Rattus norvegicus: one gene and its partners. The protein of the gene in region 1 interacts with the protein of each later gene in a pairwise test. Links are inferred from orthologs where the notes say so. Each region holds a gene or a part of one and is shown in the gene's direction. Other genes may lie near its edges. The genes, in order: Pin1, Zbtb9, Gli1, Meox2, Cep76, Ccdc33 and Jakmip2.

What was found.
Region 2: the proteins of Pin1 (region 1) and Zbtb9 interact in binary tests that used the Homo sapiens proteins (3 or more experiments, as listed by UniProt). The two-hybrid records come from large-scale screens. The link is inferred for Rattus norvegicus from reciprocal best matches to the Homo sapiens genes PIN1 and ZBTB9.
Region 3: the proteins of Pin1 (region 1) and Gli1 interact in binary tests that used the Homo sapiens proteins (3 or more experiments, as listed by UniProt). The link is inferred for Rattus norvegicus from reciprocal best matches to the Homo sapiens genes PIN1 and GLI1.
Region 4: the proteins of Pin1 (region 1) and Meox2 interact in binary tests that used the Homo sapiens proteins (3 or more experiments, as listed by UniProt). The two-hybrid records come from large-scale screens. The link is inferred for Rattus norvegicus from reciprocal best matches to the Homo sapiens genes PIN1 and MEOX2.
Region 5: the proteins of Pin1 (region 1) and Cep76 interact in binary tests that used the Homo sapiens proteins (3 or more experiments, as listed by UniProt). The two-hybrid records come from large-scale screens. The link is inferred for Rattus norvegicus from reciprocal best matches to the Homo sapiens genes PIN1 and CEP76.
Region 6: the proteins of Pin1 (region 1) and Ccdc33 interact in a two-hybrid assay, tested with the Homo sapiens proteins (2 studies listed by BioGRID). The two-hybrid records come from large-scale screens. The link is inferred for Rattus norvegicus from reciprocal best matches to the Homo sapiens genes PIN1 and CCDC33.
Region 7: the proteins of Pin1 (region 1) and Jakmip2 interact in binary tests that used the Homo sapiens proteins (3 or more experiments, as listed by UniProt). The two-hybrid records come from large-scale screens. The link is inferred for Rattus norvegicus from reciprocal best matches to the Homo sapiens genes PIN1 and JAKMIP2.

Annotation. Positions count from the first base shown.
Region 1 is NC_086026.1:27,464,258-27,468,441, forward strand, and holds the start of Pin1 (peptidyl-prolyl cis-trans isomerase NIMA-interacting 1), read left to right. Parts: upstream 1-1,384; 5' UTR 1,385-1,390; coding exon 1,391-1,448; intron 1,449-4,184. UniProt on the Homo sapiens protein: Peptidyl-prolyl cis/trans isomerase (PPIase) that binds to and isomerizes specific phosphorylated Ser/Thr-Pro (pSer/Thr-Pro) motifs.
Region 2 is NC_086038.1:5,058,132-5,062,115, forward strand, and holds the start of Zbtb9 (zinc finger and BTB domain-containing protein 9), read left to right. Parts: upstream 1-1,184; 5' UTR 1,185-1,320; exon of another isoform or gene 1,321-1,421; intron 1,422-1,564; 5' UTR 1,565-1,603; coding exon 1,604-3,001; 3' UTR 3,002-3,984. UniProt on the Homo sapiens protein: May be involved in transcriptional regulation.
Region 3 is NC_086025.1:65,045,073-65,048,407, reverse strand, and holds part of Gli1 (zinc finger protein GLI1), read left to right. Parts: intron 1-1,496; coding exon 1,497-1,661; intron 1,662-2,124; coding exon 2,125-2,355; intron 2,356-3,270; coding exon 3,271-3,335. UniProt on the Homo sapiens protein: Acts as a transcriptional activator. Binds to the DNA consensus sequence 5'-GACCACCCA-3'. Regulates the transcription of specific genes during normal development.
Region 4 is NC_086024.1:59,632,525-59,636,024, forward strand, and holds part of Meox2 (homeobox protein MOX-2), read left to right. Parts: intron 1-1,157; coding exon 1,158-1,330; intron 1,331-3,500. UniProt on the Homo sapiens protein: Mesodermal transcription factor that plays a key role in somitogenesis and somitogenesis and limb muscle differentiation. Required during limb development for normal appendicular muscle formation and for the normal regulation of myogenic genes.
Region 5 is NC_086036.1:63,475,559-63,479,515, reverse strand, and holds the start of Cep76 (centrosomal protein of 76 kDa), read left to right. Parts: upstream 1-1,157; 5' UTR 1,158-1,318; coding exon 1,319-1,381; intron 1,382-1,785; exon of another isoform or gene 1,786-1,911; intron 1,912-2,382; coding exon 2,383-2,538; intron 2,539-3,593; exon of another isoform or gene 3,594-3,816; coding exon of another isoform or gene 3,817-3,849; intron 3,850-3,957. Other genes in the region: Psmg2 (proteasome assembly chaperone 2), read right to left, coding at 770-826. UniProt on the Homo sapiens protein: Centrosomal protein involved in regulation of centriole duplication. Required to limit centriole duplication to once per cell cycle by preventing centriole reduplication.
Region 6 is NC_086026.1:67,406,986-67,410,485, reverse strand, and holds part of Ccdc33 (coiled-coil domain-containing protein 33), read left to right. Parts: intron 1-3,010; coding exon 3,011-3,174; intron 3,175-3,500.
Region 7 is NC_086036.1:35,995,883-36,000,007, reverse strand, and holds the start of Jakmip2 (janus kinase and microtubule-interacting protein 2), read left to right. Parts: upstream 1-1,325; 5' UTR 1,326-1,453; coding exon of another isoform or gene 1,454-1,456; intron 1,457-4,125.

The DNA of each region.
Region 1 (4,184 bases):
CACCAAGCCTGACAACTTTAGTTTGACCTTCAGAACCCCATGGTGGAAGGAGAGAACAGATTGCCACAAATTGTCCTCTTGATTACACAGCTTTCATGGCGGTATCCCTTATAAATGTAATAGTTTTTTAAAGTGATTTTTTAAAAATTCTTGAAACAGGGATTCTCTGTGTAGCTCTGGCTGTCCTGGAACTCACTTTGTACACCAGGCTGGCCTCAAGCTCAGAGATCTGATTGCCTCTGCCTCCTAAGTGTAGGATTAAAGGCGTTTGCCACCAGCACTAGGCATAAAGTAACATTTTAAAATTCTTATATATATGAATTGCCTGCATGTATGTATGAATGTGTACCACATGCAGGTCTGGTGAATTGAAAGGTCTAATGGAAGGGCAGCTAGTGCTTTAACCACTGAGCCATCTCTCTAGCTGTCTTTTTTTTTTTTTTTTTTTTTTGATTCGTTCATTCGTTTGTTGAGACAAGTTTCCTGTGTAGCCTTAGCTGTGCTGAAATTCACTTTGTAGAGCAGGCTGGTCTCGAACTCAGAACTGCCTGCCTTTGCCTCCTGAGTACTAGGATTGAAGGTATACATTAACACACCGTTTTCCTCAGACTACCAGTTGACTAAAACCGGTCGTTGGAGCCGCCCACCCTCTCCTACCCCCTTTCCTCGGTCTAGTGGTAATGCTCTCACCCATCAGTCACCTGCCTAGAAGTCAGGAGGAGCCCATGGAGAAGGAATAAGTCGAAGTAGGTTCTAAAAAAGACATGGAAAGTGGGTGAATAAACCAGTGAAATGGTTCGCCTTGCAAAAACCGAAAAGGACTGGTTTCGCTTTGGACATCTGGAGGAAAAGGTGGGAAGAAGAACTCAAAAGCCAAATTTAGGCTCTGAATAGTTAGCCTTTTGTCACCAAGGCAACTGCATTGCTATGGCAACGGCAAAGTACAGCAAAAGCACCCATGTACCTTAGTTCCAGCTGGCCACTTCCGCGTGGATTCTGGCGGACCTCCGAGAAAGGCTTGAGAAGGCCGGATTGGCTGCCGCAGGAGCCAGTCAAATAAGCACTATTTTATCGGCTAAGCGCACCAAAAAGGGTGGAGCGCCCTTTTGACGCTTAAAGGGAGCCGCTTGCCGGGTTGGAGCATCCAATAGACGTAGCTTCCAGACGAGCCAATCAGTAGCGGTGTTGGGAAGGTGAGGGTAGTGGGTGGAGGGTGTGTGTAGGGGTGGTCCAGGAGGCCGCGGGAGAGCCCAATAAAAGGCTCGAGAGCTCGAGGCGTTGTGCTGCCGTCCAATTGGCGTCTCGATTGGATGAGCCAATCAACAGCGGCGCTGGTCTGGCGCGGGGTCAGAGCCGCGGAGGCGGAGCAGGCGCTGCGGCAGGAGGGAAGATGGCGGACGAGGAGAAGCTGCCGTCCGGGTGGGAGAAGCGTATGAGTCGCAGCTCAGGTACCTCTTAGGGGTCGCCCAGGGCCCGGGGCGAGGCCTGGAGGTTGCGGAAGTTGGGCTTGAGCTCGCCTGCACAGGCGAGTCGCATCACCGTCCTGCTTCGGGCATGGAGATCTGGCCTCCTCCGCGGCATAACGGGCCCGGAAAGCCAGATACTGAGGTAGGAGGTGGGGCAGGCACAGGCGCGCCCCGGTTCTCGCCCACCACTGGGCCCCGGTGCTCTGAGGCGACGAGTCTGCACCTCGGAGTTCCCTTGAGAGGAAGATCGGGATTCGGTGCAGAGGGCGTGGGCCGCCCTGCTCTGGTTTCTCGGGCAGCATCCGAGACACGTGCCCGCTCATCCCCCTATCGGGACCCAGGGACAGTGATGGCTCCTAACCAGGACAGTTCGTCTCTGGGTCAAGCATGGTGCCAAACTCTTTGAAAGACTTCAGTTCTTTTACAAGTCTACGCCGGTGTGTGCTCCCGCTTCCCCTCCCCCTCTCCCTCCTGCCTTCTCTCACTCTCTCCTTCCACCCCTCCCTCTCTCTCCCACCCACCTCTCCACTCTTCCTCTTCCTCCTATCCCCACCTCCACCTCTGTTCCTCCATCTCCCTCTCCCTCCTCCCTCGCTCCCTCTCTTTTCTTGGTTCATGCTCTCCTCCCCCCCACACCCCGGTTGCTACCATCTTTCAAGAAAGGAATTGCTCTCATATTTCAAGAGGGAGAAACTGAGGCCAGACATGGAAAGAACTCATCTGATAATGCAGTTCAGTCACTGGGAATGCCCTAGATTGCAATGATTTTTTTTTTTTTTTGATCTCAAATGTCCCCTTCCCAGTGTCAGTGGCAACGCCTAGAGTAGCCTACAAGCATTTCAGGTAGCCAGGGTCAATGCAACCTACAGAGCTCACTCAAAATTCTTAGTTATTAAGCATCAAGGTTCTGGACACTGCATATGTTAACTCTCTGAACCCAGCTAGGTTTAATGTCATTCACTTTCCACCTTTTTATCAAGAGTGGATGTGGAAAGGCATTAGACAGAGCCTCATAAAGACAGGTTACTCTTGAATTCCTGATCCCCCTGCTTCAGCTCCCCCAAGTGCTGAGATTACAGGCATGCACCACTTTGCCCAATTTATTTATTGAAACAATCTTTACTAATAATATTAGTAATACTGTATTTAATGTATGTGCATGTGAAGGTCAGACAATCTTAACTTGCAAGAGTTTTCTTCCTTCTACCATGAGTAGATTGTGAACTCCGTCAGATTTGGCTGCAAGCACTTACCCATTGAGCCATTTTCCTTTCTAAGATGTGTGTGTTTGTGTGTGTGTGAGAGAGAGAGAGAGAGAGAGAGAGAGAGAGAGAGAGAGAGAGAGAGAGAGAAAGAAAGAAAGAAAGAGTGCGCAAGAGCGAGCATGAGCGCTCAGACGATACTTATCCAAGGATGACCTTGAACCTCTGGTGTTCTGCTGGGATTACATCACACAGAGGTAAAGTCTTGCTGTGTAGCCCAAGCTTGCTTCCAACTCATGATCCTTGTGCTTCAGCCTCTCACGCACTGGGACTAAAGTTATAAGCCTTTATGCTCTGATGTCCTTATTCTCTTGTCCCAGTCTACAGATGAGAAAGCTGAGGTTCAGGGAAGGTGACCTGACAAAGGTTTTAGTTGGATTTATCCCCAGAGGCTTTGGGCTGCTCCATTCCTAGGGTGGGGTTGTGACCTCTAGCATAAACTTGTCTCTAACTGGGTGTGGTGGCACACAGCTGTATTTCCAGCACTTAGGCAGAAGCAGGAGGAGATCTGGTTCATGGTTGTCCTGGGCTACGTACACTTTTTTAAAAAATACATGTATGGGTATTAGGCTTGCATGTGTATTCCATATGCATGCAGTGCCCACCAAGAAGCCTGAAGAGACAGTTGTGAGCCTCCACATGGGTACTGGAAATTGAACTCCAGTCCAATAGAGGAGCAGATGGTGCTGTTAATCTCCGGGCCATCTATCCAGCCCCCATAGTGAAACTCTTTTACACACACACACCCCTATACCTGCCCCTCTGCTTAGTTATGCTTGTCATTTGTTCTCAGTAGGACTATGAAAAGCCCTTCCTTCATGGGTAACATCCAGCTCTTCTCCTATGCTAGATCAGCTGTGTAACCCAGGTAGACTCAGCCCTTGGAGTGACCCAGAATCTACTGGGTCCTTCCTTCAGGCTTCTGCCATACCCCTTCCTCCTCTTTTACCTTTCACTTTTTTGAGTCCGTCTTGCAAACTTACTTTTACTGGCTTCAATCTGCAGACATCCATCCTCTTGCCTCAGCCTCCCTAGTGCTAGGCAAACAGCATGTTCCACTAAGCCAGAGTTTTCCCTTGAGGTTTTGATTTTCCATCTGTCTCCTTTATGCCCTCACAGCCACTCAGATGACATCAGGCCCTGAGTAATGCTACCCCTTGCTCTCTGACTTAGGCTACCAGTGCAGGGGTTAAGACTGGAGCTTTGAGGGCTGGGGATTTAGCTCAGTGGTAGAGCGCTTACCTAGGAAGCACAAGGCCCTGGGTTCGGTCCCCAGCTCCGAAAAAAAAGAACCAAAAAAAAAAAAAAAAAAAAAAAAAGACTGGAGCTTTGGAGTAACTTTCTCTGTTTATGCACAAGACACAACTGCTGCTGCTGTGAGCAGAGGAGGGGGAGGTGCTGCCTGGGTTTTTGTGGAACGAAGCAATGGGTAAAAACAGTTATACTCTACCTTTTG
Region 2 (3,984 bases), on another chromosome or scaffold:
CTCCTCTGCTTCCCTACATCAGGCCTTACCCTTGGACCTCCTCCCTCCTCTTTGGCTGTTGTAATTATCTGGGGTTTGTACTGTACATAATTGGGGTGGGGGGCTGGGAGGCGACCCCTCTGTACAGAGCTTCCTGGCTCCCTAGCCCCACCCCTCATTTCCTTCCCCACCCACCACCTTAAGAGTAGGGAGAAGATCTTCTTACTCATTTTTTTTGCTGTTTGTTTACTCGTTCTCCTTTCTGCTCCTGCTCCCAGACTCTTGGTCCCCACCCCCATCCCCCCACACCCCCTCTTTTCTCCCACTCCCGGGTCCATTTCCCTTTTTTTTTCTGGAGTGTGTGGTGAAACAGAAAAATCATGTTTAATAAACGGAGATTGTTCTTTTATCGCTGGGCTGACTTTTATTTTTGGTTTTTCAAGACAGGGTCTCTGTGTGGTTCTGGGCTGTCTTGGAACTCACTCTGTAGACCAGGGTGGCCTTGAACTAGCAAGATCCGCCTGCCTCTGCCTCCTGGGACTAAAAAAGCGTCTGTCGCGGGGGGGGGGGCTGATTTTTTAGCCTGGGGTCTCCAGAACCACCTGAAGGCTGACAGGGACTACTTTGGGGGAGAAAAAGTAAAACAAAATCATGTCTTCTTCCACTACACACTGCTCGAGTCAGGAAAACTATATACGGCAGGGCCTTTCTGGTGAAACTCCTACCCCCGTTCTCTACCCGCCGGACACTCGACCCAAAGGCGCTGAGGCTGGGAACCGGCTTTTAACGCCCGAAAGACTCCAAGTGCAAAACCCTCTCGACATAGGGTTTAATTGTGAGGACGCTTGTCTGCGAAATGGAGGAAAGAACCCGGGGTGCTCAGCATGTGTGCGCTCCAGACTTCTGACCTGGCTGCCCCACGTGCACGCGGAGGACAGCCGCATCTCCTACCTCGCGCGGCAAGAGTCGGGGGGATACACACACCGCGCTGCGGAGCCAGTCACTCCCCTCACCCCAGAACCCGCAGAACCACCCTCCTCATCGGCCGCTCATCCCGGAAAACATTCGCCGCCGCTCCAGCAGCCCGCCCGCCCAAAGCCCCGCCCCTCCGACTGACCAGCCAATGAGGAGAGGTCTTGTAGGCCGCCGCTCTCCCATTGGCTGCAAACCAGGTCCGGCCCTCCGCGCCTGGCTGCAGTGGCGTCCGGCGGAACTGCGGCAGCTTCCGGCCGGCCAGGCGCAGTGGATGCGAGGAGCTCCGACGCGGTCGTGCGTGCGGTGGGGGCGTGTCGGTGGGAAGTCGTGGGGCCGGAGCTCGCGGAGCCGGCCTGTCCGAGCAAGGTGAGGAGGGGCGAGCGGCGGCGGAGGGCGACTGAGCCAGCGAGGCGGGGCGCCATCCCTTCCCTACTTGGCTTCCGCTGGGCCTGGAAGTGAAAACCCTGGTTAGTGTTTTGCTGGGTTTCTTGGTGGGCGGAACTAATACACAGAAACTTGTCACTGAAGAGTTTTCAAGTGTCGGTGGGGAGCGGCTTGAGGCAGGTCTCATACCCCGAACTTGTGTGACCCTAGTCTCTTTCCTCTGCAGTCTTCATCCACGGGTTTTATTTCTCCCTCCGAGGTAGCCATGGATGCTTCGACTCCTTTGCCTCCCGCACCCTCTTCTCCGAGGTGTAACCCAGCCCCACAGACAATCCACATTGATTTCCCTCATCATAGCTCTTCGCTGCTGGAATCCCTGAACCGCCATAGGCTGGAGGGAAAGTTCTGTGATGTATCCCTCCTGGTTCAGGGCAGGGAACTGAGGGCTCACAAAGCAGTGTTGGCTGCTGCCTCTCCTTACTTCCATGACAAGCTGCTATTGGGGGATGCGCCCCGACTCACTTTACCGAATGTCATCGAGGCAGATGCGTTCGAGGGACTGCTTCAGCTCATCTATTCAGGAAGCCTCCACCTGCCATTGGATGCTCTTCCTGCCCATCTCCTCGTGGCCAGTGGCCTTCAGATGTGGCAGGTAGTAGATCGGTGCTCAGAGATTCTTCGAGAGCTAGAAACGTCCAGTGGAATTTCATCTGGTGGAGGAGCCTCCAGCCTCACACTTCTTTCCACAACATCTGCAGGAGGCTGGTGCATTCGCTCTTCCCCTTTCCAGAACCCAGGGCGGTCCTCCGCTTCCACAGAGAATTCTGCTGCCCCTGAGAGCCCCAGTGGAGGGGAGGGGGGTGAACTAGAAGGAATGTTACAGATTCAGGTCAAAGTAGAGGAGGAAGAGGAGCAGAGGTCAGCAGCCCCACCCTTTCAGACCCCTCAGCCTGAGAGAGTGTCAGGAGCGGTTTCCCAGGCTTGCGGATCCCACCCGTTGCCTACATCGACTCTTCCCAGCAAACCTTCAGAGGATGAGAACTCAACACTTGATCCTCCTGCCCCTCCCGTACAAACTTCCCAAATCTTATACGTTAACCAGGAAAACGTCGAGTGTAAGGAGGAGACATCAGGAGGCAGGACTCTGTCTGGAGGAGCAAAGGAAAAGACCAAAGTACTGCCTGGAGAGAACTCTGAGGAAAATGGGGAGCTAAGATACTTGCTGTCCTCAGGAGGAGGGGAGACGTCTGGGGCAGGAGACCCATCCTGGAAACCAGTGGATCTCCATGGGAATGAAATCTTGTCAGGGGGCGGAGGACCCGGAGGAACAGGGCAGGCTATGCACGGGCCTGTGAAGCTAGGAGGGACACCCCCTGCAGATGGAAAGTGCTTTGCTTGCTTGTGTGGAAAACGGTTTGCAGTCAAGCCGAAACGAGACCGACACATCATGTTGACCTTCAGCCTTCGTCCCTTCGGCTGCGGCATCTGTAATAAACGCTTCAAGCTGAAGCATCATCTGACAGAGCACATGAAGACCCACGCCAGAGCTCTGCACGCGTGTCCCCATTGTGGCCGCCGGTTCCGGGTCCAGGCTTTCTTCCTTCGACACCGGGACTTATGCAAGGGCCAGGGCTGGCCCACTTACCACTGGACTTACAAATGACTACCGATGCTCTGTAGTGATTTCTAGGACAAGATAGCCACTGCTGCTGACGGACTTACCTTCCACCACCTCAGTCCTGGATCGTGTGGTCCTTCCAAGAGATTATATATGTCATGTTGTGAACCCCTTACTCTTGGGGATGGGCCTCACCCTGGTATATTTGGAAGTCCTGTAGGAAGGTCATGCTTCTGATCACTCAACCGGAATGGCCCTTTTTGTATTGATAGCCAGTGAAGGAACTGCTGACCTCAGGTTATATTAGCAAGAGAAGAGATGGAGCAAAATGACCCAGTAACTCTATCCTCATCTTCATGAGGAGGTGAGGGAGCTGGTCTCCAACTAGGAAAACATTTGATTCAGAGCTCAAGTAATTGTCAGACTCAGCTCTGAGCGGCCTCTGCCTCACTGTCAACGGTATCCCGACTCTGTACTTTCTGTCATTTCTTTCCAGAAGCTTTTTAAAGTTGTACTTTTCTTTTCTCACCAGGAGACACCTTTCCCAAATATCCTTTTAAAAATGACTGGAGAGGTGGCTCGGGCACTGACTGCTCTTCCAGAGGTCCTGAGTTCAAATCCCAGTAGCCGCATGGTGGCTCACAACCATCTGTAATGGGATCTGACGCCCTCTTCTGGCCTGCAGGCGTACATGCAGACAGAGCATTCATACATTAAAAAAAAAAAGTACTTGAACATGAAGCAAGTGTCCTGCACACATTTAATCACAGCACATGGGAGGCAGAGGCAGGTGGATCTCTTCAAGTTCAAGGCCAGCCAGGGCTGCGCTCGGCGAGACCCTATCTTGAGGGGGATAAATAGTACTCGAGCACTTTAGCAAACTGAGCATTTCACAGGTTACTCTGAAAGCCCATCGCAGAGGGTCCTCCCTCAGAGGCCTTCACCTTGTCTTTCACTACCACTAATCACAATGACAGATGTGACCCAGGAACTCAAGAGGTGGCAGCTGGCCTACAGCGCTCCCAGGG
Region 3 (3,335 bases), on another chromosome or scaffold:
TTATGGGGGCGGGGGCTTGCTTTCCAAGGTGTGTACGTGGAGGTCAGAGGATCACTTGCAGGACTTAGCTATCTCCTTACACAGTGTAGGTCCTAGGGATCAAACGCAGGCTGTCAGGCTTGGCCCTAGCACTTGTGAAGCTGAGGCAGGAAGATCAAGAGTTTGAAGCTAAAAAAAAAAGAGTTTGAAGCTAGGTTTCAAAACAAAAACAGTGGTTAAGAGCATTGTCTTCTCTTCCAGAGGTCCTGAGTTCAATTCCCAGCAGCAACTCCATGGTAGCTCATTACCCTGTGGTCTGATGCCCTCTTCTGGCATGTAGATGACGATGCAGATAGAGTACTCGTAGACAAAAACAATCGAATCTTTAAAAACAAAACAAATAACCAAACAAACGCAAAACAAGACAGGCCTGGTGGCACACACCCTGAATCTCAGTACTTAGGAGGCAAAGGCCGGCAGGTCTTTGTGAATCTAAGGCCAGTCTGCTCTACATGATGAGGTCCAGGCTAGCCATGGTGGGTGACACAGTGAGACCGGATCTCATAAGTAAATAAGCAACAAAACAAAATAAAATTTTGGATCAAAAAGCATATTTTCCCTTTGATATGGATTTACTTATTTATTTATTTGGTTTTCAAGACAGGGTCTCTCCATGTAGCCCTGGCTGTCCTGGAACTTGCTGTGTAGAACAAGGAGGCTTTGAACTCAAGAGAACTGTCTGTCTCTGCCTCCCAAGCACTAGGATCAAAGGCGTGCACCACCACTGCCCAGCCCCCTTTAATTTTAAAAGAAATGAAAACATGTGCCGGGCACTGTGCTGCACATCTTTAATCCCAGCACTTGGAAAGCAGAGGCAAGCATATCTCAGTGAGTTTGAGGCTAACCTGGTCTACCTAGTGAGTTCAAGGCTAGCAAAACTACACAGTGAGACCCTGTCTCACAAAATAATAGGGGCTAGAGAGTTGGCTCAGTGACTAAGAGCACTGACTGCTCTTCCAGAGAGGTCCTGAGTTCAATTCCCAGCAACCACATGGTGGCTCACAACCATGTATAATGGGATCCAATGTCCTTTTCTGGTGTGTCTGAAAACAGCTACAGCATAGTCACATACACAAAATAATAATAATAATAATAATAATAATAATAATAATAATAATAATAAACATTTTTAATCACCTAGTGCTCATGTTACTTCGTTGCCTAGTGGATAGGTCCTGCACTAATGACAGACACTTGTGTAAGCCTGGCCCCCAGATGACCCCACTCTTGGACCATCTAATCCCTGTGCAGGGTGACCTGCTCCAAGATGCTCACTACTTTCACAGCCGTCCCTCACCCTGTGCTGTTTCCAGTTTTTTCTGCTTTTAGCTCCTGTCTGTCCTTGTGCCCTAATCCTGGGATTCTCCAAGGTCCCCATCCATTTATATTCCCTGGTTTAAATCCTTAACCCTCCATGCCCTGTCTGAGAACACCCTTGGCCTCTTCACATCCCACAGTTTGAAGGCTGTCGGAAGTCCTATTCACGCCTCGAAAACCTGAAGACACACCTTCGGTCGCACACCGGTGAGAAGCCTTATATGTGTGAGCAGGAAGGCTGCAGCAAGGCCTTCAGCAACGCCAGTGACCGTGCCAAGCACCAGAATAGGACCCACTCCAATGAGGTGAGAGCTCAAACTGAGATATACTCCCCGATCCGATACTTTTGGCTACTGCCAAAGTATCCCCCATAAAGAGCCCCTTTAACCCAGGGCTCTCTCCACAGAGGTAAGAAACCAGTTCCCACTTGCCACACTAACCGGCAAAAGAGTCAGTCTAAAGTAGACCCCGACCCCTTCCCTTCAGCTTCTGAATTTACATGGCCTCACAGCCTTGAGGGTCACTTCTATTTGTTTACCTAAGCCTCCTATAAGCCTCTCGGGATTTCCTCCACCTGAGGGCCCCCCACCCCCTTACTTCCTAGGATGCTGTGTGTCCGCCCTCACTAGTCTCAGAGCTCCCACCTCCTTACTTCCTGGGATTGTGTGTCCCCCTCACTCACCTGCCTCGGAGCTTTCTTTCCCCCGTTCTGTTTGGGTTCATCTGCTTTGGTCCATTGGCCTTCCAGCTTGGCTCTCTATTCAACAGAAGCCATATGTGTGCAAACTCCCCGGCTGCACCAAGCGCTACACAGATCCCAGCTCGCTCCGCAAACATGTCAAGACTGTGCACGGTCCGGATGCCCACGTGACCAAACGACATCGAGGGGATGGCCCCTTACCACGGGCACAGCCCCTCTCCACAGTGGAGCCCAAGCGAGAAAGGGAAGGAGGATCCGGCAGGGAAGAGAGCAGACTGACTGTGCCGGAGGGCACCATGGTGAGCCAGCCATTGGAAGCCTTTGCTCTGCTCTGCTGTTGTCTTTCTAGCCCTTCCCTAGAAGCGAAGCATCTATCTCTTCCTGTACACATCAGTCTTCTGTGGCCACCCCAACCTGCCTGCCTCCAGTTTCAGTGTTGCTCCGTGGGTGACTCCAAATCTGAAGCTGTTATAGTCATCAATTGTTTAATTGGTCCAACATATTGTCGGGGAGGTGCTTCTGGGGATACAAACCAGGCAAATGGTCTACACTAAGTAAATCTTCAGGCCCCTATGGACCTGCTCTCAGATAACACTTTGTAGTTCCAAGCTTTTGGCGTGCACATTTTGTGTACTTTAAAAAAAATATTTTATTTATTTATTTTAAGTATGTGAGTACACTGTAGCTGTCTTCAGACACACCAGAAGAGGGCATTACAGATGGTTGTGAGCCACCATGTGGTTGCTGGGAATTGAACTCAGGTGCTCTTAACTGCTGAGGCGTCTCTCCAGCCCCCCTATTTTGTGTATTTTTTAAAAGGATGTATTTATTTATTTATTGTATGTGAAAACAATGTCACTGTCTTCCGACACACCAGAAGAGGACATTGGATCCCATTACAGATGGTTGTGAGCCACCATGTGGTTGCTGGGGATTGAAGAGCAAACCACTAAGCTATCTCTCCAGCCCCCTATTTTGTATATTCTTAACAAGAGGAAGCAGGCAAGGAGAAATTTGTCAGGCTTGTAGGACTACTCAGGAATGGAGCCTCTATGCTCCAGTGGGGTCATCTTAGTTCCTTCTAGTTTACCCTAACCTCTTGCCCTCACCCCCACGCCCACGCCTGTTCTCAGCAATCACTGGGCTTCAGCCATTCACCAAGAGAGAATTCTTGGGGGCGCTTGCCACCCTCTCTGTTCTCATTCTCCTCACAGCCTCAGCAGAGCCCTGGAGCACAATCCTCCTGCAGCAGTGACCACTCCCCAGCAGGCAGCGCGGC
Region 4 (3,500 bases), on another chromosome or scaffold:
GACTTCAAAGCTAAACATTCCATGATGTGACTTTGTGGCCTGCCAGAATAGCCCATAGGGTGAAAAGTTGGTTACTTGGAAATTTTATTTAGATTATCCCAGAAGAGCTCAAAGTTACAACAGTGTGGCTACTGACAAAATATGTGGGTTAAAAACAAGTGTTTGGTGAACTCTAGTTTCTACTTGGAGCCAGGTATGTTAACATCATGTCCATAGGCCTACCAATGAACTGCCAACTGTTATAAGTTCATTTACTTCCAGTGGCATCCTAAAGAGTAATGTGTCACAAAACATTCTTTGACCTGGATTGAAAACTCCTCCTTGACCAGCTTAGAGGGAAATCGCAGCCAATATGGAAAGTGACAACTTGAAGAAGTGGTCAGAAGTAATGACCAGCCAGGGAAAGCTACTAAATGACCTATTATAGTAAAGGGAGTACCTAACGGGCCAAGATGTTGGTGAGAGCCCATTGCTACGGCTGCTGATCTGATAAAGACACATCTGGTCAGCTTAGATTTGAGCAAGGGTCAACCCAGAATTATTTACCTTAAAATGTCCTCTCTAGTGGGTTTCCATTTTATTTCTACAATGGTTTTCTGATGATGATTTGGTTTATTTTATTATCACAGTACCATTTTAGAATTTCAAATTATGTTCATATTTTATAAATGTTTGAAGAACTTTTCCAATTATGTAATGAGTTACCAGAAAGTGCGTGTGTGTATATATATATATATGTATATATATATATGTACACACATATATATATATATATATGTAAATACCAATTAGAAGTGTCTGCTATTTGATGATTAAACTTTTGTTCAACAAAATGACAAAATTTAATGTATGATATTTGAATGAAAGAGAGATAGGGAGAAAGAAGAGAGACCTATCTCACTCTGTGGAGATGTGTGTCTCTCTCTCTCTCTGTGTGTGTGTGTGTGTGTGTGTGTGTGTGTGTGTGTGTGTGTGTGAGAGAGAGAGAGAGAGAGAGAGAGAGAGAGAGAGAGAGAGAGAGATCTGTTTTACTGGCTTTGTTCACTGTTGGTCATGTCTGGCAAAGCACTTGGAGAAGTAGTTATTCAGTAACTGTAAATAGTATGTTTCCAGACGTTTGCACAACTGTGTTAACACTTTTTGCACTTTCCCCCCAGATTCCCAGGAAGGAAATTACAAGTCAGAAGTGAACAGCAAACCTAGGAAGGAAAGAACAGCTTTCACCAAAGAGCAAATCAGAGAACTTGAGGCAGAGTTCGCCCATCATAACTATCTGACCAGACTGAGAAGATATGAGATAGCGGTGAACCTAGACCTCACTGAAAGACAGGTAAAGTGGGTGTCTTCATTGCATGGATTTTTATTTCACTATAGCTCAGCAATTTTCTTTTACCGTTTGAATTATCCAGATTTATGATTTACTAATACCAATTAGAAGTCTTTATTATTCAATGATTAAACCTTTGATCAGCTAAATGAAGAAACAATTTAAAAAGATATTTGAATGAAAGGTGCATTTGCTGAGTTTTAAAAAGGAATGCTCTCTGATGTTGATATTACTCTGTTTACTTTAAAAACACGGTTTGTTTTAAATAATGTGGGCAAATGGTGAACTACTTCCTGTGTTTATATTTAAGCGCTCCTCATTTGGTGTCATAAAAGGTTGGTTGTCTGTACAGGTCAGGATAGGCCATGTCCTGTTGCAATAGAACATTAACCTTTAAAACTAAATAGCATAAAAAAGTACCCAAACAACTCTTGATGGTTTATTTTCTACACAAGTTTTACAAATCCAGAGCTCGCTGACCTTGGATTCTCGGCACGCGGTGCTGTTGCTAACCACAGGAGGTGATAAAGGATTGGCAGGTCCCTGACTTTGAAATGTGTTCATCTGGAAATGACTCCAACCTCTCCATTTACTCTCACTCATTTTGAAATAGTCAGGGTTGTACCATATGCTCAAAAGGCAGGGTAGTGGTTGGCAGCAAAAATACATAGATCATTAGAAAATACTCTCTATTAATCAAAATACTTTAAAAAGATGCTCTTTTTCTAGGAATTCAATAGTCTACTATCGACTCAAAGAATACCTTGAGCAGTAATGATCCATGTGTTCAATTAACAAGAACAAAATGAGATAAATTGCTTTATAGATAGATGCCTTTACTGGGTTTTATTTGGATGGAAAATAACTTGCTCTGTGAGCACTCAGGGAGTAGCCCCTGTATAAATGCATGTTTACCCTGGGAGAATGCAGCCTGCAGATGGTTAACAGTCTGGCTAGTTAGAGTAACATCCCCGAAAGGCAAATGCAAACATCTTTAGGAACAGTGAAATGATACCAGGCGCTATTAGGGCAAGAGTTTTACTTCCTCTCTCCCTGTACATTCCTCCTCCAGAGGTCCCACTGAGTCCAGGAAAATACCAACAGGGTGTGGACAAATGACTGCATGCCTTACGATAGCAAGTAATTTTATCTAATTTCTTAAATCATATTCTTCCTTTCTGCTAATTTTTACATTTCAGCTTCTGTGGGTTATTTGTGGTTAGAGAAAATATACAAAGGGAAGATTTTATGTGGTTTTATTTATTGGCAGTTCATATTTTATTAAATATTATGGCTGGGTCCTGAGCTCTGGAGTACGACAGTTTCTTTGCCTGAAGCGCACACAAAGTTTCCTCTGTGAGTGTAGCATTTGGCACTTCAGGAAGCAGAATCCAAATCTATATCCTCAGGGAGCTGATTTCCTTTTATGTGTTCATCTGGGAACAGAAAATTAAAGAAGGGGCAAAATTACACATTAGTTTGTGTAGAAACCATGGATTCCAGGAAAGACCCCCATGTTTTAGAAAATTGGAAACTCGGGTTGACATCCCGTCTACACAATGATGGATATAGTACTGAGCTCTCGCCAAGAGCAAAAGCAAAGCTCTCTGCTTATTCATAGTGATGGCCTATCATCTTTTACAGTCTGGTCAGAGAAAACCATACTTGTCTAAGAGCAAACTAATTTTAAAAGAGGTTCTGTAAACTAACAGAAATGTGGAAGGTATTTTCAATAATTGTTCTTTTTTCCTAACTGACTTGATGTATTGAGTTATATGCAACAACTATGTATGTGTCCTATTTTAAAATCATATTTTTCCGATATCACTTTAATTTCAAGTCAGCCTGCTTTTTCAGTGTAATAAACTATCTCAAATATTAATGCAAATTCACAAACAGCCCCAAGTTTATTTACAAGTTTGTGTATTTAGGTTTTTGAATGGTTTTCCCAGCATTCCTTATACCCATCCCGGAACTGCAGTCTTTGATCCAGTGCTAAATACTGCCTGAAGCTATTCTGAGACAGTTGTTCTTCTAATCAGCTAACCCAGGGTTCTTCAGAGTGGCACAAATGCTCCCAGGAAAACAATGAGAAGAAACTTCATCCTGTAAGGGTTCCTTAAGCTTCTGTTTATCCCATATTTACCAGTGTCTCCTATTCAAAGCCATCCTT
Region 5 (3,957 bases), on another chromosome or scaffold:
GGGTTCAGATATTCTCTTTGGCCAGAATGGGTGTCAGGGACCCTGGACCTGGAGTTATAAGCCATTCATTGTGAGTATGTAAGAATTCTATCCTCTGTAAGCCACACAGGCTCTAATTACGGAGCCATTTCTTTAGCCCCCTCCCCTCAAGCTTTGTTGTTCTTGTTGATTTGTTTATTTCTTGCGGGGATAGGTGTCTTTCAGGCTGGGGCTTCCTGCCTCACGATTGGAATGCTGGGAATACAATCTTGGTCAAACCACTCCCACCCAGACTTCCGCAGGTCGGTAATCTCAGGTCGTTCTCTTTTTCAAACTTCTGTCTTATTTAATGCTCTTAGTATATGCACGTGTTTCTAGCTATATTGTAAACCTTGATGACTAAACAAGGACAATTCTACTACTGCCTTTTAGACAACGATCTGCTCTCTAATGCAATTGATTGCCTAGATCAACACGGACCCAAACTACATAAAAACACTTCAACGGATAAAACTTAGGGATTCCCCCGGTGCCACTTATGTGCAATGTATCTGCAATGTACAAACGTTACAGTTGCCAGGCAACGAAGGCTTCAGCTAGCAGGCAGGCCTTGATAGAGCGGACAAATGTGCTAATTTGGACCGCCGCCTCTAAGGATAACCAACTTGTTTGTTGGTTTGTTTTTTTCAGGCTTAAAGCCTGAAGCAGAAACACGTGCCCGGCTCTCCTAAGGCCAGGTGGCGCTTCCCGGGTCGGGGTGGCGACAGCGCCAACTCAAGTGGAGACTCACCATCAGGAGTGTGAAGTTCTTTAGGTCGGGGACCGACTCCCCGCAGGGAACGAACATGACTGCAGTGGGCGTAAGAGAAGCTGGAGCGCTGTCCGGGACAGCTAGGATACCTATCCTTAGGATAGAAGGCGGAACTCGCGATCCGCCCGGGTCCTTCGGGTCCTTCGGGTCCTGTAGGCGTCCGACGCACTGCCTGCGCTCAGTGCTGAACGAGGCTCGAACGCTCGGCAGGCGGCGTTCCCCGGGGTCGTAGGTCGAGGCCCTGCGACAGAGGACGTGGGAACCGCGCGTGCGGGACCCGCGAGGAGGCGGCGCGTTGGACCGCGTCGATCAGGCAGCTGGCAGGCCAGCCCCGGCGACTGTCAGTCCGCCCGGTTTGAAGACAGTTAGTTGTGGCGCCGCGGCTGCAGGGTTCCCGCCCTGCCAGGTCTGACGCGGCCGCGGCGCTTTGTGCTACGCCCGCCACCGATGCTGCGCGGCCGGGACGACGGGCTCCGTGGCTGCACCGTGTGAGACGGAGAGTAGCGGCCGGGAGGCGCCAGTGCCGGCATGTCGCTGCCTCCGGAGAAAGCCTCTGAGCTGAAGCAGCTCATCCACCAGCAGCTGAGCAAGGTGAGGAGCTCGGGCGGACGGGACCGGAGCCAGGGCTGTGGAGCGGGCGCCGGCGGGCAAGCTTCGGTTGGGCGTGTGACCCGAGGGAGCGCTGAAGGCTCTTTAGCTAGAGTGGAGGAGAGCCGCTGTAAACCGGAGGCGGTCCGGGCGCTTTCCAGATGTTCATGTACAAGTAGTCCGAGGCCAGATGTTTAGGGTTTCTTTACGCCTGGAAGCCCGATCGCAGTAAGTTATGGGAGACAGGGCGCTCCAATGACTGACAAGGAACGCGTTTACCCGGCTCGGGGCTTTCAGGAGAACCGCGACTTCCCAGCAGCAGCGCCCGACTGCTGGCCGTAAGCTGAAGTAATAAAGCTTCTTTATGGTGTGTTGGTGCGCCGGTGTTTGCGTCTCTAGCGTCTTTTGGCGAATCCTCAAAACAATCTCGCTTTTCCATCGGATGGGCAAGGAGATAGACGGACAAATTAGAGTTGCAAGTTGAATAAGTGAGAAGGCTGAAATAACTCGCTCTTTGTTCTGCCTCCTTCTAGGTCTGTGTTCTTTTGATTGTCCTCCACTCCCTCTCTTAAGAATTGTTTTCATTGAATCATTTGCGGGCAACCAGCAATAAAGGTTGATAACCAACCAGTTCAGATTGTTTCTAGTATGTTGCTCAAAACTTCCACCACTTAAAAAGCTCAATTTTATTGGCATTGGGCACTTGCCATTAGTTTCAGAAGCCTAAAATCTACAAGTGGCGTTTAACTGCTTTATAATGTTGTAAATTGTTTTTGTGCGGTTTTTTTTTGTTGTTGTTGTTGTTGGGTTTTTTGTTTTGTTTTGTTTTTTGAGACAGGGTTTCTTTGTGTAGTTTTTCTGGCTGTCCTGGAACTCTATAGACCAGGTTGGCCTGGAACTCCAGAGATCCACCTGTCTCTGCCTCCCGGGTGCTAGAAATAAAGGCATGCACCATCACCACCAGGTATAATTTTGTAAATTGTAATGTGGGGTTTTCTCCACAGATGGATGTCCATGGCAGAATAAGAGAAATTCTTGCCGAGACTATACGAGAAGAATTAGCACCTGACCAACAACATTTATCAACAGAAGATCTGATCAAAGCTCTCAGACGTCGAGGAATCATTGATGATGTAATGAAAGAGCTTAATTTTGTGACTGTGAGTAATTTCCTAGGTTAAACAAATTGAAAGTGTAAAATATTTGCCTCTGTCTAACAATTTACAGGGTCCACACTTGTGGCTTCTCTTAAAACCACCTTAAGTTCATTCTCTGGTAATAGCCATTTTTCTTAGATTTTTAAGAAGACTTGATGTGTATGGCTGTTTTGGCTACATGCTGGTCTGGTGCCCACAGTGTTCAGGGTGGCCTGTGATCCTCTGGAACTGGAATGAGCCACCATCAAGATATTGGGGGAACTGATCTCAGGTCCTCTGGAAGAGCAAACGAGTGCTCTAAATTGCTGAGTCATCTCTGCCGTCTCCATAATGTTCTGCCCTCTGGTGCTTTTGGTTTTTTTTGAGACAGGTTTTCTCAGTGTAGCTCTGGCTGGCCTGAAACTCATTTTATAGACCAAGGATGGCCTCAAATTCACAGAGATCTCCTGTTGTCTGCCTCCCGAGTGCTGGGACTAAGGCATGTGTCCACAGTCAATGCCTGGCTCCTTTTCTGAGTGTTTAAGTTGGCCCCACCGTGAGTTGGCTAACAGAGATCATAAGATAGGAGTTGTTGGACAGTATTTCTCTGACGTGACAGAAACTTCTGTCAGATGTGTCAGATTCCTTCGATCTCTAATTTATTTAGGTTAGGTCTGTTTTAAAACAGATACACTCATGAAATTCCGTAAGAAAAGAGCTGGCGACATAAAACCCCTCATTTCTCTGTACAAATAGGTCAGTAATGGGATATCTCCCAGTGCACTAAGTAGGCAGGCCTTATTTTGAAAATGAGGCAATAATGAAAAACTGTGACCTCAATATAAGAGTAATATTCTACTAAAAATAGAATGGACTTCATAATACTCCAGAGAGTTGGGTACTTTAATACACTATCCTTTTTTGGGTTTTGAGGTTTGCAAACCTATTTGTTATTAAAAACTGACCTATTAACAGCCTCTGCTGCATAAATGTTACTTTTTAAAAATCAGTTCATGGCGGGCTGGAGAGATGGCTCAGCAATTAAGAGCACTGACTGCCCTTCCAGAGGTCCTGAGTTCAATTCCCAGCAGCCACATGGTGACTCACAACCATCTGTAATGGGATCTGATGCTCTTCTGGCATCACAAGTGTGTCAGAAGACAGCAGCAGTACTCTTATTATGCTGGCTGTCCTAGAGCTCACTGTGTGCCAAGACTGGCCTTAAACTCACAGATCCATCTGCCTCTGCCTCCCAAGTGCTGGAAGTGAAGACATGTGCCACTGTGCTCACACAAATGCTCTATGGGGTTTAAAAGAAGTTTAGCCTTATTTAAGGTATCGATTTGTTTTTTAAAGGCAGGCTTGGCATCCCGTTCCAGCACTCAGGAGGCAGAGATAGGCAGAGCTCTCTGAGTTCAAGGCCAGTCTGGTCTACATGTTTTA
Region 6 (3,500 bases), about 40 Mb from region 1:
AGGAGAGATCTGGGCTTCATAGCTTCCTGTTGCTTCCCGGGTTTCTGGGAAGAGGGAATAGAATGGGAGAAGAGTCTGGTTTCATCCTGGTCTCTGCCAGAAGCCCACTCCCTGTACCTCCCTCTCCACCCCCACCTCTGTGAGCCTTGGCTTGTCTGCTGCTCCTCCCTTCCTGCTCTCATGCTCCCTCACACATCCAATGCTGACCCAAGCAAAGAACATTCTGGGATTCCCAAGGACACCATGATGCGCTGAGATCAGCAGTTTTCAAGCCTGCCTAGAGCCCAAATCCTAAGGGGTGGCCAAAGGAACTCTGCTTGGAAATGGGCAGGCTTTGAGCTTACCACTAGCCTGCTGTCTACAGTCATTGCATGGGTGAGCAAGAGCAGGGCCTGAGAGCTGTGGTGAGCATAGAGCTCTGCTTTCATGGAAGAAGATTCTGAAGCTTCTCTGCCCAGGGTCAGCACCTTCACTCAGTTTTCTCCTCACCTTGTTTTCTGTTTTGTTGTTGTTGTTGTTGTTGTTGCTGTTGTTGTTGCTGTTGTTGTTGTTGTTGTGTTAAGATTTATTTATTGTATGTATGTGAGTACACTGTAGCTGCCGCTTTCATGCACACCAGAAGAGGGCATCAGATCCCATTACAGATGGTTGTGAGCCACCATGTGGTTGCTGGGAATTGAACTCAGGACTTCTGGAAGAGCAGTCAGTGCTCTTAACCACTGAGCCATCTGTCCAGCCCCAGCTCCTCTCCTCACCTTGTAACCTAGTATACGTAGGTATAGGTGTCGGCATCGGTAGATACATATCCTATTCCTTCACAAATTCTTCCATGTGACCAGGGGCAGAGGCAGCAGAACACATTGGTCCTGATGCAGGGACCCACGAGCAAGGACAGAGGCAAAGGTGCCCTGGCTCACTGCCTGTCCCCTCTACAACCCACACCTTGGACCCCCACCCAGTACATCCATGGGGTACATGCCTACAGGCTTCAAGAGGTACCTGACTAACAGCTGGCCTCAAGCACACAAGTGAAGCACAAGTGTCCCTACCCAACTCTCTCCAAGCTATGTTTCCTGGAAATCTGTCCTGAAAGGGAGGAGACGGGGAAGGAAGAGATCCAATCGGAGGACCTGGCAGAGGCCTGGTGGCCTCCAGAGCTGCCAAGGAGGCAGGGAAGCCCATAGACAACGATCATGCTAAGGGACCTTCGCTTCTGTAACCCCCGCCCCCCCTAGAGTGCCACGGTAGGCTTGCGCCCTCGCAGTGGCAAGGGTGTCCATCTGGCAGTACAAGGGACATCAGTTACCTCTCCTAGTCTAACTTCAGAGAACTTTAGTCACACCAAGTCCTGGAAAAGCTGAATCAGAAATCATTCTAGATGCTCCCACCGGAGTGCAGGGAAACGGCTCTGTGCCGGCGCATCTCAGAAGGGACAGAGGAGCCTCCTGGCTTGTCAGCTGCTGTCACTCCTGTACCAGAACAGGAAAACAAACCTGCTAGGCGACCTCTGGTTATGTGGGCTAGTACACTAGAAGAAGTCCTCTGATCTAGGAGAGGCATTGGTCTGTGAATGCTCCCCTCCTCCACTAGCAGGGCTCCCCCCTCCCTTCCCCCTACCCTTGCCATGTGTGTGTGTGGGGGGGGGAGTTAACTCTCATCAACACCTCTGCAGATGGTGACAGGCCCTGCTGGGTCCTGTTGGGGGAGGGAGCAGGTTTAATCCTCAGTCATAGGAAGGGGAGAAGTCTCTACAGAGCTGGCACATCTAGGGCTGGGAAGCCCTGTTCTCACCTCCTAATGAGACAACTTGTTAGGCAGGGACCACAGTCTGCAGCACGTGAGGGATGGGTCAGGGGATGTGGAGTTTGAAATCTTTTGGAAATTTCTGCCCAGGTGATGAAAATACCAGACAAAGGCTGAGGTGGGGAAGGGCTGCTAGGACGATTAAGGGAGCCTGGCTTCTGCTGCGCTCACCATGCAGTACAATGGTCCTGAGAATCTGAATGAAGTAGCATTCCTAGATGTACCTGGGCTAAGCCATGCTGCCTTCTCTTCCCATGCTAGGAGTCAGGAGGGCGGGGCAGAGTGGTGCATCATGTCAGGTCCCAGTCCCCATATGTGAGATGACAGAGGTGGTCTAAGGTAAAGATATAGGAAAGAAGAAAGGTAGAGGTCACTAGGACCTGAGGAGCATGTGGCACGGAGGAGTTACAGAGGTAAAAGCAGGAGCAGAAACCGGAGGACAGACAGATTGCTTACAAACTAAGGTGGGCTGACTTCTGCTGCACACGGGGGCACACCAAAGGCTAAGGAAGAAGCAAGAGGTAGAGAGAAGTACAGAAGTAGAGAGAAAATGGCTTCCTAGGCTACTGTTCTGTAGTTGGGGGAGCAGGTAATGTTACAGAGAGGAAAAGGTACTGGTCAGTCGGGCCTATCCAGCCACTAGCCCTGGGCCACATCCAGACTCCTGCAGGCAAGACTGTCTGTGAACACAGCTAAACACAAAGTCATAGGCTTATCTGAAATGTAAACCTTGTATTTTCCAATCATATCATTTTTATTTTATTTACTATTATTGTATACGTGTGGGTGAGTGCAAGAGCGTGCGTGCCACGGCGTGCGTGTGGAGACCAGAGAAAACATTTTTAGAAGTATTAACTTCCCACCATGGGTTCCCACAATCCAATTCTCGCCATCAGGCTCACACAGCAAAGGTTGAGCTAACTCACTGACACGTCTGTAGTTTTGTAACAAGGTCTCGTGTAGCCCAGGCTGGCCTCAAACCGGAGGAGCCAAAGATGACCCTGAACTTCTGGTCCTTCCAATGCTCCTGCCTCTTGAGGGCTGGTGTGCACCACCACACCAGTTTTTATGAAATTTCTTCATGATTTCTGTTTTGTTTTGTAAATTATACCATGGAAAGTTTTGACCCACCTGGTAGAAGTTACCAGTAACAGTAAAGAGAAATACTCCATCAAAAGAGTCCACTTAGCCCTGGCTTTCCCCACAGGTTCCTGAAGAACCACAGGACCGCCTGGATACCTCTCTGGACCCATATCCTGACACCAACTACCTGGCTCCCTGTAATAAGGAGACTGTCATGGTCACTCTGTATGGAGCTACCAACCTTCCTACCTGCAAGGATAGCTCTGAACCGTGGCCCTACGTGGTGGTGTAAGTAGCTGGGAAAACTGAGGTAGGACTGGGTCTGGGTCTGCAAACAGAAACCATCTGATGAATATTTGGAAAGTGAGCTCCTGTGCAAATGAGAGACCTGTCTTGTCCCTGGCTGTGTGGTAACCCATGCCAGGACTGAGCTCCGCCTGACCTCACAGGGGCAAGCCCTTGTCTGTAGTGCCTAGGCTGTGTTCAGTGTGGGATGGGGATGGTCTAGGGGAATGTTACCAGCCTGGGCATTTGAAGTCTGTCCCCAGAGGGTGGGGGAGCAACTAGGGACAGATAGTTAGAAAGAGAAACAGCACTCAGAAGAATTGGTGAAG
Region 7 (4,125 bases), on another chromosome or scaffold:
GTATTCTCTAAGATTTACAATGTTTTCAATTTTCAAATTTAGAAAACATGAAACTTTTTAGAATACTCGCCATTTGGCCACTACGGCCACTACCATCACCAGCCATGACAACTATCATGCATTTAGTATTTTCTCTTCTACCTGGAATTGTTATATCCTTCCCTTAAAGCTTTTAGGTTAAGTGATGTCTACAGTGTACCTCTCTACAACTCTCGCTAATAATAGTAAATACTTACTGTGTGCTTACTACATGCCAAGGGCTTTTAGTGCATTATCTCAATCAATCTTTACAACTACTGCCCGAGACAAATTCTAATGCCATCTATAATTTATGACTAGAAACAGAACTCCACACTGCACATTCTCTAGATTTTCTCCTACCTACATCCCTGAATGACAGCTGGCTCTGGAACTCCAAAAGGGCATCCATGAAAACAGCACGCATGGAATTGCTTGTGAATAATTCTCGTTCCAGGAGTCTGAAGCCGGATAGGTTTGGAACTGTCCACTGTCTAGTGCTGCTAAGAACCGTAGTTGTTCATAGGCATTTCCGGTTTGTTTTGTTCCAACTTCTTTTTCCTCAGAGGTGTGGTCAATATCGCCAGGTGCTTTTCAGGAGACAACTTGCAAAATTGGTGGAATCAAATCATCTTAGAACGTAAAGGAACGTAGCAGGCACCAAGTATATTGCAAAGTCCAGCAGGTTTTGCTTTGTTTGTTTGTTTTAAATTAAATGTGGCACTGAGCAAGAGATGGTATCAAGGATGTACAACTTTGGAGTCAAAACAATCTCACACATAATTATTTTTAGTTTATTTCTTCCAAGTGCAATATATTTTATCTAAAATCTATAAACAGTACAAATAAATGTCAAATATATTTCAACCTATAACTTAGATGCAACTTTAACTGTTCTTTCCTGGTGCCTTTTCACCTTCGGCGCCGCTCAAAGCCACCTAGAGCTTAGATTAGGAGAGACCAAGAGCATCTCAGAGACAGGGACTTAGTTTTACTCCAACCCCTGCAGCTTGCTTAGCTCCTCTCCCCTCCCCCTTAGCTTGCCACTTGCAATTGGCTATTGCCATGACAACCAGCAGCTGCCAGGCCGGCTGCTTCTACCGCAGCAGGGGTGGGGCTGTGGGGGTGGGGAGGGAAGGAGGAGCCTGAGGAGGTGTCTGCTGCAAGTTCCTGGCTGATTCTGAGCTCACACCATCCTCCAAGAGGGAGGAGGCTCAAGTGATGCTGCTGCTGTTGCCGCCTCTACTGCTGGTACTCTAGTGGAGCTGGGAAGGGTGGTTCCTATCGCACCATCGCCAACCGGAGAGGGAGGGGGAAAAAAATCCTGGTAGCCGCTGCTGATGTTGGGTTCAGAGGCTGCATCCGACCCGGTCACAAGAAAAATGGATTCAGTGTGCGGCTCTCCCTCTTTTCAGCATCTTCTCCTGCTCTCAACATGGTGAGTAGGAGGCAGAGGGGCTACCTTCTTGATCTAGCTGGCTGTTAAATGACTTTTGTATATATCTGTGGCCTAGACTTAAACAATGACTCGCGTCTCTCAGACTAGGAGGGGGGATGGGGGTGTGGAAACAGCGATGAGGATGGAGAGAGAGGAAGGTTGTCTGTCGGCAGAGAAGTGAGAAGGAATCCGCTAGTCTTTTGAGGGGAAAAGAAATGATGTTTTGATTTTTATCACAAACTAGCTAGAAATACTAACTGAACCGCCGGATTCCTTTCCTCTCAAGCTTAGCAACAAAATCAGAGGGGTGGAAAGGAGCAAGCAAGAAGAGGATATAGTTGAAAGCAATCGTTTCATTTGCAGGTCTCGCAAACAGGGTTGGGCCTTCCCTGAATAACACATTTGGTGTCTCAACCTTGTTGGCCTAATTATAAGGTGGTTTTACTTATTTGCTCTAGTCTTAACGTGGTCCCAGAATTAGGCATTCTGTTTCACACTTTAACATATTCTTGTTGAAAAGCCATTTCCGAGATCCAGAGTTGATTTTTCAGGATATATATTTAATTATGAACATACATATCTCCATGTATACACATCATATGTGCACATGCTATTTTGCAGGTGTGTTGCATTTACGGAACCTATTTCTATGCCCAGCGTGCTTGATTTACTATCATTTTTATGAGTTATTGATGCCTTTGCATTCTTGGAAGTAATTGCATGTTTTAGGAAACAGACTTCTGGTTTGTATTATTATTCATTGGCTTCATTTGGATTAATGTGAAATTTATTCTTGTTATTGTCCCTTAGGTTCATTGTAGCCAATTAGGACAGATGCCTATCGCTTCTCTATTAAAGAACTAGATGCCAATTCATAGCCTGGCTGTTTTTAATTGGGTTTGTGGGCCTACGTTAAGGGCCCCAAATTTACAATGATGGGAAAGGGAGGTGGCTTGGAGTATTTTCTAGCATATTGCATCGTCTCAAATAAATGTTGAAACAGATAGGTTTTCTTGAAATTCTAGTCTATCTCTTCCATATCTGTATGGTGTGCTCCAACCAGTACAGCTGGAGTGGCAGGTGAGAGGCATTCATTTTACTTAATTGTATAGATATTTGTTCTTCATTCCTTCAGTGTCCATCACCATTTTATAGCCCTCTCAGAATGTTCTGTTCTTGGGTAGCTTCTCTAAGTGATTAAGTAGGAAGCAGGATGGTTTTTTAAAAAAAGAAAAAAAAAGTGTTCTCAAGGACCCCAGACTGAATTAGTCTGCTCATACAATGCAATGAGCGAGAGCAAGCAAAGGAAGGCAAGCAAGCAAGCTTGGCAGGAGGATGTGGCTTGTAGCTGAAACAGGCTTGTAGTTTATAAATGCTTACTGGTATCTGTTTGACCTTTTACTATGCTAAGGCTTTAAGGCAGCTCAAGAGACTAAAGATGCCTGAGATTGGAATGTATAAGGTTCCATTACCACCTAGGATAATGGATTTCATTGAACTAAAGCCAGAAAAATCCTTTCAGGTAAAAATGTATTAGCAATATTACAAGCATCAAATACGTGAACTGTGTCTACCAACCTTCCCACCATCACTGCTATCGAGGATGTATTTTAAGTCTAAAATTATAGATTATTTTCATATTAATCTTTCATTTTATATTACATATTTATAAAATTTACCTCATTGGATCTTAGTTCTGTTTTCTGAGATTTATTTGGTTTACAGATGCTTAAGCGACTTAATTTAATATGCTCATGTATTATGTCTATTCACAAGTCTAAATTCTTGCCACCATGTGCCTAATTATAACAACTCTATAAATTAGGTCAAGGAAGTAGGTACTGGACTTGTATGTCACTGCAAAATGGATGTATACCGTAGTATACAGATTTCAGAGTGTATTACTAAATGGAACTTCATATTTCCTAAAACAAAAGTTCAAATATTTCTACAGTAAACTTACAAAAATGAAATATGCAATACAAAGCTGGACCTGTTCATAAATGGAAAGCAGGTACCCTTGCCCTTTGATTTACTTGCTGTCTGCTGAATTTGGATGTGGTTTTATGGGCAAAGTTGTTACAGATTGAAGTGAGGCTCATCACAATAGGTCATGGTTAGGAAACTCAGTGTTGGTAGTCCCATCCAATTATAGGTCCAGATGCTGTAGAATGACAAATGAACCAGAACTATGTAATCTGGAGGAGAGGAAATTGAGATATAAGTGCCACTTTCTTCACATAAGATTCTGCTTTCAAGTAGGACACTGGCAATTGCTACTTTGTGGAACCTGGAATGTGATCAATGGGCTTCAGCTTCACAGAAAGAATTAAGGTTGAATATACAAAGCATAGAAAGTCTTACAAGTAAGTGGTGTGGGTAGTCATGCACACCATTAAAGGCTACTAGGTTATGATCTGGATATGCTCTTGTCTGGGATGGACTATGTGTCTTCCTAAAGCACGGCTAACTTACTGGGGTCAGCTATCCTTTGAAGGGTTCAGATTAACTGTTAGCATTGGATACTTTGATATTTGTGCATATAGACTCCATTTTGTAATGTGCTTCTAATGATCAAATCTGGGTACTCTTGAAGAAGGTGATTGATGATATATCTGGAAAATTTATTTATGGAGTCTTAACAGGATGCAGGGATTTGCTTGATTTGC